Linked DNA regions of Macaca fascicularis. The protein of the gene in region 3 interacts with the protein of the main gene of each other region in a pairwise test. Links are inferred from orthologs where the notes say so. Each region holds a gene or a part of one and is shown on either strand. Other genes may lie near its edges.

Region 1 (5,400 bases), on a different chromosome or scaffold from region 3:
TGAGCTACAGAGTACAGATTTATAATAAACAATGGAATGGTCTTGTGGCTCAGGATTCTGACTAGTAACATTTAATACTGCATTCCTTCGCTTATTTAAATATAATTTTACTATCAAGCACTATTACTGAGTTGTTTAGTATAGCTGTGTTTGTCCATATATCCTTAACACTAAGCATAGTGACTGGCACACACACATAGAGGTGTTCAATAAATGATTCCTGAATACATGAAAGGTTACCCACTAGATTTTCCTTTTCTTTCTTTTTTTTTTTTTTTGAGATGGAGCCTCGCTCTGTTGCCCAGGCTGGAGTTCAGCGGCGCGATCGCGGCTCACTGCAACCTCCGCCTCCCGGCTTCAAGTGATTCTTCTGCCTCAGTCTCCCGAGTAGCTGGGACTATACGCATGTGCCACCATGCCCGGCTAATTTTTTGTATTTTTAGTAGAGACGGGGTTCCACCGTGTTAGCCAGGATGGCCTCCATCTCCTGACCTCGTGATCTGCCCGCCTCGGCCTCCCAAAGTGCTGGGATTACAGGTGTGAGCCTCCACGCCCAGCCTACCCACTGGATTTTCTTATGGTGGACTTACTATCATTCGACTTGAAACTTTACTGAATAGTATGGAGACAAATGATAGTCTTGTTAGGTAATTGCTACACAAACGGATTAATAGCTAAATAAAAAGCCAGAAGGTCTTCCAATCTAAAACAGGATGCATTTGATATATTTTTTCTTAAAAGGAAGAGGTAAATAAGCAAGAATTTTTTTTACTATGAATATACCAGAATGTTATTGTTGTGTGAAAATTTATTTTTGAGCCATTAAACATTTTTGAAAAATGAAAGATGAAGTGTCCCACAAAATCTCATAATTCCCTTTACTGTGAATTCTGAGTGTATATGTGTCTTTTCATATGGCATTTCTTTTCTTTCTTTGTTCTATTTCTAGTTTTACTGCTCAATGTCCCATTTGTAATCTTTGAAAGCTTCTAATATTCCATTTGCTAGTTTCTAATGTCCACTGACATTTGTTCATTATTCACCCCAAGACAGATGAAATCCTCAAGAATAACAGCTACAGTTCAAAATGGATCAGCAAATGCTTTTCCAAACCACTTTTAATCATCCTATAAGGAGTGGACTTGCAATAATTGAATCTTGACAATTCTTTGACATCTTTTAGAGCAATCTCTTAACTAGGATTTAAGCAAAAGATACTGGTACACCATCAAGTAACATTTTCCTTTCTTCTCCTTTATCCACCATCATAATTGACAACCATTTATGGCCTTTATATACATATAAACAAAAATATTTTGAGGCCTAATAGTGTTTGGAACAGTGCAATATATGAAATGTTTGCCATTTGTTAAGTGAAAAGGTGAGAGAATTGTAGTTTGGACTGAATAGTGAATGAAGGACATTTAGCTAAAATGAAATGGTAAGAGATAATTTTTAGGTTAACAATTATATTTGGTTTTTCATATGCCAGTAAATTTTCTCAACACTAACTCAACATAGATCTCATTATTCACTGAATGTCAGGTGGTAACTATCAGAACAGGTTTCTTACGATTTATGAGTTATTGTTCTAGTGCACAGCCATGGAAATGTCATTGAAAGAATATCAATTCAGAAATGCAAAATCATGGTTGATACTTTCAGATCTGAAACCAACCCTCGGAGTGTGGGTAGTTTTATTCCCTTATTTCAAAAATGTCAAAACCCAAATCGAGGGGGCATGGGGCCTATTCAGGGTCACAAAGTCCAGTGAATTAATTAGCAGCTGAACCTATGTCAACTGCATCACACTCCTATGCCAGGGTGCTCCTCATTTTACTGCCTCGCAATAATATAGGTAAGGTATTGCTCATACTTTATGAAATTAGCTCTCTGAAAGCCTTTACTATTTGCATATATTCAAAGATACTGCAAACAAACCAGTTACACCACCAGGCAAAAAGCCATTTTTTTTTTTTTTTTTTTTTCCATGAGATACTGGTCTTAAACCTTACTGTGAGCAGACGATGAGAGCCAAACTGAATTGTGATCTTGAGGCCTATATAAAACTGCTCTTGCCTACTAGCTGGTTATGGACATAAAGGTTGATATAAAAATTTAAAATCCAGATTTCGTGTTTCCATCCACTGAGGATGAATGAAGACACTAAATGGAGTCTTTCAAAGGTTGACTTTAGTAAGAGAGTTGATAAATAAAACATTACAGTGTACTTCTAACTTCCATATTTAATAAGTGGCATTTATGTAATGTGCCTATACAAATATTGTAAGGGATTTTTTTTTCCTACTTTGCCATTCCTCCAAAGCGAAAGGTGTAAAAGGTTATGGAATAGCACACAGGGACATATCATTGAAGAATGTGAAGAAGAGATTTTTATGGAATAATTTTAATGGGGTATCTTCCTAAGAAAAAGGAATTTATTTTCCTCTATTTTGGTGTCCACAATCTTTCACTTTGAAGGCAAGTCAGCAACATAAGGTAACACAGCAAATTCTGGAAATTACAAAATTTACGATGGCAAAATGCTTTACTGGGGTGCTCTGCAGTGGAATGGTCTCCATCAGCTAAGAACATTTCCCAAACTGCTTTAAAACACATTTCAATGGCAAATTTTACAGTTTGCTATTAGTAGGCTGTTTAAAAGTATACAGAATTTTGTGTGAATACCGCTTATACTGATACAGTCAAGAAATATCTTTTTATGTTAGGAGTAATATGTGTTGGTAGGTACAACAGAACTTATTAAAAGTCAAACCACCTTAAAGATGGACCTGTAAACCTTGCTTTACCAGGTCACATTCTCAAATAGCCAAAGAAAACTCTCCGAAGTGATTCCTGAAATCTGTACTTCTGTCACACTCTTCCTCTTTCCCTAGTAGAGTCCCCTCCACCAGACCTTACCTTCCTAAAATCCGACAGATCTTTTAAACCTATACACTTCTAACCTGCCCAAATTTCTAACGCCATCTCTCTGTAAATATTCTGCCTCAAGTTTCTACACTACAGGACGTTGAACACCAAAAGGGGGTTTACTCCCCCTTATTTCTTTGGCATTTCCTCTTTTATCTCCGCCCGTTTCTCCATCGGTCCCCCTTCCCTTATCCTTGACCCTCTTGGCCCACAGCACTTCTACTTTGCCTTCTCTTCCAAATCACACCTCAGCTTCCTACAGCACACTAAGGTGTCCTGGCTGGGAGATAAATTATGTGGTATTTTTTTTCCCTTCAAACTCCTGCTTCGTGAGTACCTGCAATTCTTTTGCCTGGGGTCCCCCATCCTTTACAGGTGGGAGAGGTAGGGAAGGCCCTCTCTGCTTCAGTCCATCTTGCACACTCGGGGCTAATACGGCAGGGCGGGGCGGGGCGAGCTTGGCCTTTACTGCGCCACGGCAGGTGGGGGGTGGGGCAGTGGCGAACCGCGCCCAGCCCGATCTCGCACGGGCTGAAGAGAGGCAGCGAAGGAGATGGGGCCGCCCCCGCACCCCGGGACGGGAACTCACCTTCTCTGAGGCAAGGGCGGGTGTCTACTTTAAAACTACTGCCCCCCCTCCCCGCCGCCGCCATAGTGGAGCAGCCAAAGCCGCCGCCGCCGCCGTCGCCACAGCCACCGGCAGGCGGGCAGGCAGGGGCGGAGGTGGCGGAGGAGGCAGGAACAATTACTGCCGCCGCCGCCGCCGCCGCCGCCTCGCAGGCGGTGTAGGAGGAGGAGGAGGCGGCAGAGACGGTAGCTTCCTGAGGGGAAGACTCCGCCGCCAGCGGGGTGACTGTGCTCGGCACCGCGGCCATCGCAGCGAGGCGCGCGGACAATTGCACTTGCGTCTCGATTCCGTTAAGCTCCTTTAGCCCCGCCTTCCGTTAGCCCCACCCCCTTTGTCCCTCTTTTCAACGCTTCAGCTGGAGCCTCGTTCTCGCTCCTCAGTCCACCAATCAGAGAGCTTTAGAGCCGCCGGCCGTTTCCCCCGCCCCGACTGCCTTGCGTCACCCCACCTCCCTTTGGAGGGGAAGCAATGACGGCCAAGGGCAAAGGGCAAAAAGCGCGGGATGTAAAAGCACGTGGGCTTCACACAGTGAGGCTTCTTTGGAGAGCTAATGTAAAACCAATTTAAGAGTAAAAAATATCTGGAAACCTATTGATTCTACGTCCAAAATATCTCTGCAATATATCTTCACCTGGCTTTTTTTTCTTTTTATTTTCTTTCTTTTTTCTTTTTCTTTTCTTTTCTTTTTTTTTTTTTTTTTGAGGCAGAGTCTTGCTCTGTAGCCCAGGCTGTAGTGCAGTGGTGCGACCTCACTCACTGCTACCTCTGCCTCCCGGGTCCCGGTTCAAGCAATTTTGCCTCAGTCTCCCGAGTAGCTGGGATTACGGGCATGTGCCACCATGCCCAGCTAATTTTTGTATTTTTAGTAGAGATGGGGTTTCACTATGTTGGCCAAGCTAGTTTTGAATTCCTGACCTCGTGATCCACCTGCCTTGGCCTCCCAAAGTGCTGGGGATTACAGGCATGAGCCACCACGCCCAGCCCCTGGCTTTCTTAAAGCCCTTAGTACAGAGAATAGAACAGAATCTTTCGTCCTGACATTGTTTTCGTGGCCTCTAAAAGGACTGCTTATCTATCGATCTGCCCATCTTAATTACAATAAATTCCTGTGAATTCAGCACCCAATAGAAGAACTGGAATATTACTGATATTTTAAATTACATCTTGTCCCCCAACCTCCCCTCTCAAAGAAACCAATATCCTGATTTATATTTCTTATTTCTTTGCATTTTAATATGTATTCTTGTCACATAGATATGTGCCTAAATAGTGTTGTTTAGTTTTGATTATTTCCACAAACATTTATATGTTTTTCTAGGTAGCATTCAGGGACTTGTTTCTGTTTTTTTTTTCCCTCAACCAATACTCCCACCTCAGCCTCTGGAGTAGCTGGGATTACAGGAAGGAGCCACCATGCTTGGCCTGGAACTTGTTTCTTTCACGCGCAACATTCTGTTTCTAAGATTTGTCTGTGTTGTTGCTTGTAGCTGTAGTTATTCACTGTCGATGCTGTAGAATGTTTCACCCTTTTCCTTATTGATGGGCACACCTCCTGGTGCATTTGTGCAAGTCTCCCTTAAGTATTTTCTCCTTTCCAGTCTTAATCCATTGCTGCATTTCAAGTACTCATGATGTATGGTCAGCAGTATGGCATCTACCCCACTGGTCTTCTTTCCTCTGATCTCAATCCCTCCAATCTATTACCATGTTGTCAGTCATCACTGGCTGTCCAGTGCTTATTGAACAAAGTCAAAAGACACAATTTTGCACTATTAGTATCCCCATTCACCTCTTTGACCTCATCTCTTTCCACTGTCCCCATCTCTCCCCTCTGCTTTTAC
Region 2 (4,907 bases), on a different chromosome or scaffold from region 3:
GGTGTTAGATTTGGCTTTGAGATGGCCGCTGAAGGAGTGGAATGTTATAACCCAGAATTGTGGGGTTGGTTATATCCCCACTGGCAAACTTTGGCCAATGGGAAACAGAAGCTGACAGGAAGCCAGGCAGATAAATTCTCTCTCCTTCCTCCCTCCCAGGCTGGGTTGAGGTACAGTTTCTTGGTACTGCCTGTCCAGAGATATTTTGGGTGGTAGAGTAGCTATACCTGCTGAATAGCCAACAGTCAGCTCACTGTGCAATGAGCCCAGCAGGGTAAATGCATCACTTTGTATTCCTTCTCGTCCCACCTTGAATCACTTTCCTTTCTTGCCACTCTCACTGCCTACAGATTGTACCTCTCAAATTAAGCATCAGCTCTAAATCCTCATCTCAAGCTTTGTTTTTAGGAAACCCAAGCTAAAATCCACTCTAATTTACTGGCCCAAATTAAGGCAAACTTTATTTTTAAATTTATTTAAAATTCCACACTTATTAGAATATTCAATCTCTTGCTTTTCTTTCTAGATAGTATTACCCTGTCTAATTTTTACTTGCAATATTTACATCTCTTCTAATGTTAATATGAATATGGATGACATCTACACTTTCCCATCTCTGGCATATTCTACATCTCCTTAGAGAAGGAGCTAATACAGAAATATCATTTTTATTTTTAAAACTATTAACTCACACACTGGAATGTTACAATCCAGAGCCTGTAAATTTTTTCACAAGAAAACAGAATGGCCAATATTAGGCTTTGAATTAGAAGACCTCTTCCTTGGCCACGTGCGGTGGCTCACGCCTGTAATCCTAGCACTTTGGGAGGCCCTGGCGGGCAGTCTGCCTGAGCTCAGGAGTTCGAGACCAGCCTGGGCAATACAGTGAAACCCCGTCTCTACTAAAATACAAAAAATTAGCCAGGTGTGGTGGTGTGCACCTGCAGTCCCAGCTACTTGGCAGGCTGAGGCAGGAGAATCACTTGAACCCGGGAAGTGGAGGTTGCAGTGAGCTGGAGTTTGCAGTGTGCCGAGATCATGCCACCATACTCCAGCCTCATGACAGAGCGAGACTCCGTCTCAAAAAAAAGAAAAACCACAAAAAACAAACAAACAAAAACCCTCTTCCTTTGCTTCCATTCAAATACAGTCATGCATCATTTAACAGTGGTGATGCATTCTGAGAAATGTGTTGTTAGGCAGTTTGTTTGTGCTGTAAACATCACAGAGTGGACCCACACAAACTAGAATGGTATGGCCTATTGCTCCAAGGCTACAGACCTGTTCAGCATGTTACTGTACTAACTTGTAGGCAACTGTAACACAATGGTATGTATTTGTGTATCTAAACATACCTAAACATAGAAAAGGTATGGTAAAAATATATTATTATAATCTTATGGAACCACCATCATATATGCAGTCCAAACATCATTATGCAGCGCATGACTGTATCTGCTATTAAAGTTGATGAACAGTAGAATGGAATAGTTTTATATTTTCCAGGTAGTCTAGTGGAAAGGTAAGTAGAACAGTGCTAGGCACCTAAGGCATTCAATAAATATTACCAAATGAAAGGAAAGAAGGGAGAGAGGGAGAGAAAATGGGAAGGAGAGAAGGTAGAAGGGAGAGAAGGTAGGCCAGAGTTCAATTAAACCTGATTGTAATCTTGTCATTGTTAGGTGTTCCAGAAGAGTTATTTCTCTCTGTAAATGCTTCTACTTTCCCACCTACGTATCTTACGTAAAATCTGTGAGAATTATTTGCTGACTAAAAATGATGCTATTTCAAGGAATAATTATTGATAACAGCCAACCTAGAAACTTTGCCTGTCAGAATGTTGACTTGAATCCAATAACAAGATTGAAGTACCATATGGCATTGGCCATTGGTCTTCTAACTTCAGAAAACCAACAGACAGCTTCTGATCAGCATTTTCATACAATCTAAGTAAAGCAATACACATTTAGTCCTTAGAGTGCCTTAAAATTTTACTGCTAAAAATGCAGTTTCACAATAACTATCTCATTCATTAAAATGAAATGCATGTTAATCATCATAAATACACTAACAAGTCTAGAGCAGTCTCTGTTTTATAGTCCCCCTGAATATCTTGCGGACTGGTCAGAGGTCAGGCGGCTATAAACCCTCAAAGGAAATCTAGCTACATGTTTACAGACGAAAACTCGGTAAGTAGAGGATTTTTATTTCTGAACATTTCTCAGTAAGGCATAGGAAAATGAGAAACTGAATTAATGTTAAAACTAAGTATCTTATTGAAAAAAGAGCAATTAACCAAATAATTGTAGGAAATAATGAAACATTGTTAGAAGGGAAATTTCATAATGGTTTTTTAGAGATTCATTATAAAAACAATAAAGATTGGGTAATGGATCCATACTTTCAAATTTCTGCTTCTGAAGAACTATGGATCAAAACAAAACTCACCTTTCTTTTTGCTTCTTCAATAAATTCAAAACATTCTGGAAAATAAGACAGGATGTTGGTTTCAGGCAGATCCAATATAGAAATGCTCTTATATGTAAAGTCACTGAGGAAAGCATTTTCAACTCCATATGCAACATTAAGAATATGAGTCACCTTAAAGAGAAAGAAAAAAGATGATTTTTTAAAATCCCATGAATTAGGTTATCTAAAAAGAGACTGGGGTGTTGTGTTGACATCTATAACAAGAAAGGTAAAAAATTTAAATGCGACTCACTTGATTGATAATACTTCTTCAACCCACACCAGAAGTGCTCCTTCTACTATATGTTCTCTCTCTCTCCCCTCCACCCTTTTTTTTAACTTATTATTATCATCATGTAGAGACAGGGTCTCTTTCTGTCACCCAGGCTGGAGTGCAATGATGCAATCATAGGTCACTGCAATCTTGAACTCCTGGGCTCAGGTGATCCTCCCGCCTCAGCCGCCCAAGTAGCTGGGACTACAGGAGTGTACCACCACACCCAGCTAATTTTTTTTTTTTTCAGAGAGGGGTCTCGCTTTTTTTGCCCAGGCTGGTCTTGAACTCCTGGCCTCAAGTGACGTTCCCACTCCCGCCTCCCACAGTGCTGGGATTACAGGCGTGAGCCACCACACCTGGCCTATATATTCTCATAGCCCTGGACTTGCCCTATTACAGCTCATACCACTTAGAGATTGTTTGTCTCTTTCATTGCACTAGAAACTACATGAGGGTAGGGACCATGTTTAACTTAGTGTTATAAGCGAATGAGCAGTGAGTTTAGCAGAAAATGCTTAAAATCTTTGTTGAATTAATCTGTAAATATCCATATAAAAAACTTAAATAGGAGAAGTATATCAGTAGTACACAACTTCCCTTTCAAGAATTATTTCCCTATTTTCCTTCATATTCTTTACTTAATAAAATGGTTCTCCAGGATGACTGCACATTAGAGTCACCTGATGAACTCTTAAAAACTATCAATACCACAGGGTCTCATACCCAGAGATTCTGATGAACTAATCTGGCTGAAAAGTAAGGGGAGGGGTGGTTGTAAAAAATTTTCTTTCAGGTGGTACATTTGAGCAACCTCCTCCTCTTCCATCTATGTATTTGAGCCCCTTTTCTTAGAGGCCACCAAACATGTGGAAGAAAGCCATGTAGAAAGTCCATTAAGATAATCCAGAGGCTGAGAATCACTTGAACCCAGGAGGTGAAGGTTGCAGTGAGCCACGGTCATGCAACTGTGCTCCAGCCTGAGCAACAGAGTGAGACTCCATCTCAAAAAAAAAAAAGAAAAAGAAAAAAGAAAAAGAAAAAAAAAAACTAACAACTTTGTCCACATCTGTACTTCCCCTCTGCCTTCTGATTACAATGAAGGATGTGCTCATGCATCTTCAATAAGGCTCATTCCAGAATCTGTGCTTGGAGTCACAGTGCTTCCTACTTTCTTGGCATCTCCCTATAGTCATAATTCTTGCTTTTCTGTATCTTCAATTTCTTCTTCTACCATCAGCCTTAAAACATGCTGAAAGCTCTCCCATCCCCCCTCCTCACCTATAGCTCCTCTCTCTCTTTCTTTTCCCCTTCCCATCACTTCCTCACTTCTCAATCTTTTGCAATACGGCTTTGGCCTCCAATTCAAATGAAACTGTTTCCACCAAATGCACTAACAACCTCTCTGTCACCAAGTCCCATGAACATAATTTAGGCCTAATCGTACTTAAACTTTTGCAGTATCTGACATTGCTGACTCTCTCCTCCTTAAAACACTATTCTCTTTGGCTTCCACGACACCACCTTTTTGTTTTACCTTCTTTTGGCCTCTTTTGGATCCTCCTTTCCCACTGCAGACTCTTCTTCCTTTGATCATTCCATATAGGGTGATATTCCTCAATTTATCAGTTCTATGATAAGATTCTGTTATAGGCCCTCTTCTCTCTTACTTTATACATTTCCCCAGGCAGCTTCATCTATTCTAATGATTTCAGTAACTATTTAAAAGCTGAAGATTCCTAAATCTGTATATTCACCTCTATTCTGAACTTCAGACCCTACATATCTACCCACCTAGATGATCCACATCACCCAAAATCTAACACGTTCAAAACTAAGCACACAGTTTTGCCTTCAAAGCCTGTTCCTTCTACGCTGTTTTCAATCTCATGGAACAATAACCTTACTTAGTTACCAAAGAAAGTGAGACATCAGCCTTGACTCCTCCTTCTCCCTTAGCCCCACTCCCTATCCTGCCTCATAAGTAATCAAATTGTAAGAATTCTACCCCCTAAAATACCCCTCACAGCTATGTAATTCTATCTCCACTACATCTTAATCTCAGCCATTGTCATCTTTTCCTTAGATTACTGCAATAGCTTTATAACCAGTTTCCCTATCTCTAACTTGAGCAACCCTCCAATGGATTTTCCACACTGCTTCT
Region 3 (4,907 bases):
GTGAGGAGCACAAACCCCTCTGCTTTTGCTGGATGGGACACAACTACAGGTGCAGGAAGCTGACAGGCTGGAGGATGGGGTGGTGACAGACAAGCCAGTCTTCTGATGCCCAGACTTTCACAGGGAAAAATGGGGTCAAGGCAGTAGCTAAAAGGGAAAGTCAGGGGGAGGCAGCTGTAGCAGGACTGCGACGCAGCACTGTCCATTGAAGATATGAAGTAAGAAGTTTAAAGTGAAACCGGCCGCCAAGGTGGTGTCACTCTTTCAAAACTGTTCAGTTGCCGGGTGCAGCTGGGTCAGCCACTGGATACAGTAGGCATTAAGGAGGTAGCAGGGTTCAAGCTGTGGGAGGTTCTGCCTCTCCTGCTCTGAAGCCATTACCAGAGCTCCAGTACTTTATTCAGCTTATTCATTCCTAGAATACAGACTGAACTTAAAGGGATGATGACAATTATTATTTTTTATTTTAGAGGCAGTCTTGCTCTGTCACCCAGGCTGGAGTGCAGTGGAGCAATCATGGCTCACTGCAGCTTCAAACTCTGGCCTCAAGTGATCTTCTTGCTTTGGCCTCCCAAGTATTGTGATTACAGGTGTGAGCCACTGTGTCCAGTCAATGAAGAATTTTATTCAGTAGCCAATAGCAGAAAGAGCCACCACTTAAACAAGAATTTATTTCCAGGACTATGTTTTTACTATAGATTAAAATTTAATATAACTTAATTCACATATAAAGACAACTCTGAAGACTATCTGGATATGATAATGGCCTGGGGTTAAGTGGAATAACTGAGGTCATGCTCAGGCCTGAGCAGATACCAACTTGCTCAAGCCTGAGAAATAGGACTTCTCTCTTTCACTCATCACTTCAAAATGCAGTGGCCTCCTGCAGAAGTTGCACTCAGCTGAGGAATGCGGCTTCAGTTCCAGCCCCACTTGCTTCCACGTGACCAGCAGATTCTCTGAGGAGAAACAGTTTTTAAATATTAAAGGGAGTAATATACACAAAAGAAATGAATACATATGTCCACATAAACACTCATACACAAATGTTCATAGCAGCATTAGTCATAATAGTTAACAAGAGAAACAACCAAATGTCCACCAATAGATGGATAAACAAAATGTGGTAAATCTGTACAATGGAAGGTTATTTGATAACAGAAAGAAATGAAGTGCTGATGAATGCTACAGCATGGATGAGCTTTGCAGACATGATGCTGGAAGAAGGCAGACACAAAGGAGCACACGCCGTATGCTTCCACTTAGACACAAGGTCCAGAAAAGGCAAATCCACAGAGACAGAAAGACCCGTGGTTGACAGGGGCTGGGGATGGGGAAAAGAGGAGTGACTCCTAATGGGCACCGGCTTCTGAGGCGATGAAAATGTTCTAGAATCAGATAGAAGAGATGGTTGCATAACACTGGGAGTGTATTTAAAAATCATGGACTTGGATACTTTTAAGGGTGAATTTTATGGTATGTGAGTTATCTCTCTATTGAGATAAGGCTTTTATAAAAATTTTAAGGCTTTCATAAAAATAAATAAAGAGAAAAATAAAACCCCGAGTTGGGCTTGATTTCACAGACCTGTAGGGAAGAAGCTGCTCCAACACTGCCACATGACAGTTTAAACCCAGCATTTCCAATAGAACAGAGAGCCCATGAGGAAGCTGAGCCATGCTGGGTGGGCTTGGGAGGGCAATGTACCTTTGAGGCAGAGGTGACCTGTGGCTAACAGCCCCCTTCTGTCTCTGCCTTTAGGTTGGACATGGGTGGGGCAGTATAGAAGCACGGGGCAGTTGAAAATGTTGAGCAATTCCTCTTATCAGAGGGGATTACGTGTGGGGTTATTCAAGGATTATACAACGTCATGGAGTAGAGGGCAGTGGCGAAGACAAATGTGAGCTGGACTCTGGGGGACCAGCAGGGACTCAAGCCTTCAGAGGCCTCTTCTCCCTGCAAGTCATTACCGTGTATCCTTCAGCCATGTAGACAAGGGGGCACTGGGAACACTGAGCAGACTCCCAGGCTCCCTCAGAGCTCCCAAAATGACGCTCCACCCTCTTGATGTGAATCAGACAATAAATATCGTTTAGGGTTTTGAACCATTTGAGGGCATGCTTAGTTACTGGGAAAAAGAAGAAACAGGCACCGTGGCTCACAGCTGTAATCCCAGCACTTTGGGAGGCCGAGGCGGGCGAATCACGAGGTCAGGAGATCGAGACCATCCTGGCTAACATGACGAAACCCCGTCTCTATCAAAAATACAAAAAATTAGCCAGGCGTGGTGGCAGGTGCCTGTATTCCTAGCTACTCAGGAGGCTGAGGCAGGAGAATGGCGTGAACCCGGAAGGCGGAGCTTGCAGTGAGCCAAGATCACGCCACTGCACTCCAGCCTGGGCAAAAGAGTGAGACTCCATCTCAAAAAAAAAAAAAAAAAAACCTAAAAAAAGAAGAAGAAACAAATCTGAATGCCTCTGAAGGGCTTCAATTATAAACACTGCAAAGGTACTCACCAAGGAAGTAGTTCATCATCTGGGGTGTGTGGTGAGGGGTAGGGGCGATCCGTAGGAGCTCTTCTCCCCGGGGCACGGTAGGGTAATTGATTGCTTGCACATAGATGTTATGTCTGCTCATTAGTTCATCACAGACTTCCGTGTTTTTAGCAGCATCTGCAACCTAAGTTCAATGAGAGCAGAAGGTAAGGTCACAACAGGAAGGACTACCTCTTAGCAGAGATTCTAACGAACACAGTCCCCACAACACTCAGGCTCAAGACCAGACTGTAGCAACATATGCAAGCTTGGGGCAGAGGGAAAGCGCTGCCCAAACACCTGTCATTTAAAAGGAGCCAGTGTTGTTTTGTGAAGACCAGAGAACCAAAACCTTATTAAAAAGAAATACATTTTTAATGAGAAAACACTGGTTCCATTCGTACCAGCAGACTCTCATACCCAGGATGTATAATCTAGATTCGGTTATACTAGCTGTATTCATTACACTAATTCAACTGTGACATCAACAGTGCTACCATTTGTAGTGGGAAGGGCAAAACCTATTTTGAAATTTACTAAGTAGAAAGCCATACTTCAAAGCTGGCCAATCTCAGGCTTCTGGAGCTTTCCAGATACAAGCTCTGTGTTTACCCTGTTAAGGTCAGTGCTCTGGAGAGGGAACTTCTGCCCCAGCCTGCTGGGTTCAAAGGCTTTCTTCTCATGGTGAAGTCAGCCAATGGCGGAAACATGACAGAGGGTGGCTGGCTACAATCCCTCCCTGGCAGTCACCCTGCTCAAGCCCAACTTCAGGAAGGTATGAAGCAGAACATCCGTACATCATGTGTAGAGGCACAGCCCACAGCAAGTCCAATCAGAGACACGCCATTACCCGCACAGGGATGATGTGGCTGGGGCAGTGGACAACAGGGAGGCCGGCATCCATTAGCATCTGTCTCATGAGCTTAACGTTGCGCTGGTGCTGGCGGCGAAGCGCCCGTCCCTCAGCGCTCTTCAGGATCCGCACAGACTCCAGGGCTCCAGCCAGCAGCATGGGTGGCAGAGAGGTGGTGAAGATGAAGCCAGCAGCATAGGACCGTACCGTGTCAATCAGAGAACTCGTGCTGGCGATGTACCCTCCAACACAGCCAAAGGCTTTGCCTGGGAGGAGACAGCTTCATTAATTACAGCAACAGCCTCTAAATGGACATAGCAAGGTGTTGTAGAGCCTCAAAGCACTGACTTTTCTCCTTATCTTCTTAATTTGTTTCCGGACTGATTGGTGTAGTCATGCACCACATTAATGATGTCTCAGTCAATAACGACCACATATATGATGATGGTCTCATAAGATTATAATACTGTATTTTTACTATACCTTTTCTATGTTTAGGTATGTTTAGATACACAAATACCATGGTGTTGCCTACAGTATCCAATACAGTAACATGTTGTACAGGTTTGCAGCCTAGGAGCAACAGGCCATACCACAAAGCCTAGGTGTGCAGTAGGCTATACCATCTAGGTTTATGTAAGTACACTCTATGGTGTTTGCACAATGATGAAATTGCCTAGTGATGCAAGTCTCAGAATGTATCTCCCATCGTTACACAATGCATGACTATAAAAGGATATCTAATCATCCTTTTTTTTTTAGAGACAGGGTCTTGCTCTGTCACCCAGGCTGGAGTGCAGTGGGATGATCATAGCTCTCTGCAGCCTCAACCTCCTGGGCTCAAGTATTCCTTCCACCTCAGCCTCCCAAGTAGCTGGTACAGGTGTACATCACCATGCCTGGCTAATTTTTTAAATTTTTATTTTGTGTAGAGAGGAGTCCACGCTTCGTTGCCCAGGGCTGGTCTCAAACTCCTGGGCTTAAGTGATCCTCCTGTCTCAGCTTCCCAAAGTGCTGGGATTACAGGTGTGAGCTATTGTGCCTGGCTACTCATTTTTAAAAGGGTAAAAAAGCTAAGGAAGGTTACAAAAGGGTCTTGCCCAAAGTCATATGGCCAAGCTGGTGTCTAACCAGGATCAAAATGCAGGTCTTCCAATCAGACCTGACACCTCAGTGGGTCCCAGTGTGCCCAAATACCCTGCTGCTGCCTCCCTTCCCACCATCTCATTCTCCTTTCCCTTTCTCACTCGGGCTTGCTGCTCTGACAGCCAGCACAGCTCCACTCCCCACGTCTGCACTGCATGTGCTCTTTGGAACAAGACTGGCTCTGCAGTGCTTGCACCATCTTCCCACTGCGAACATTATCCCAGAGGCTGGAATTTTACCCAGCTAAGGCGTTAACTGTTTTGGTGTGACTGGTGTTATTTCCTACTTAGTTAAGAACAAAACTCTGGACAATTAATGCATTTGCTAGACAAATATGAAAACTCAGAGCCTGTTAGGATTGATTTAGGGCCAGA

The links.
Region 1: the proteins of ALAS1 (region 3) and ZMAT1 interact in a two-hybrid assay, tested with the Homo sapiens proteins (2 studies listed by BioGRID). The two-hybrid records come from large-scale screens. The link is inferred for Macaca fascicularis from reciprocal best matches to the Homo sapiens genes ALAS1 and ZMAT1.
Region 2: the proteins of ALAS1 (region 3) and DUSP19 interact in a two-hybrid assay, tested with the Homo sapiens proteins (3 studies listed by BioGRID and IntAct). The two-hybrid records come from large-scale screens. The link is inferred for Macaca fascicularis from reciprocal best matches to the Homo sapiens genes ALAS1 and DUSP19.

What each region holds. Positions count from the first base shown.
Region 1 is NC_088395.1:108,507,822-108,513,221, forward strand, and holds the start of ZMAT1 (zinc finger matrin-type protein 1), read right to left. Parts: upstream 3,826-5,400; 5' UTR 3,807-3,825; coding exon 3,269-3,806; intron 1-3,268.
Region 2 is NC_088386.1:78,639,495-78,644,401, reverse strand, and holds part of DUSP19 (dual specificity protein phosphatase 19), read right to left. Parts: intron 2,602-4,907; coding exon 2,449-2,601; intron 1-2,448.
Region 3 is NC_088376.1:115,284,991-115,289,897, reverse strand, and holds the end of ALAS1 (5-aminolevulinate synthase, non-specific, mitochondrial), read right to left. Parts: intron 3,654-4,907; coding exon 3,385-3,653; intron 2,680-3,384; coding exon 2,517-2,679; intron 960-2,516; coding exon 799-959; 3' UTR 669-798; downstream 1-668.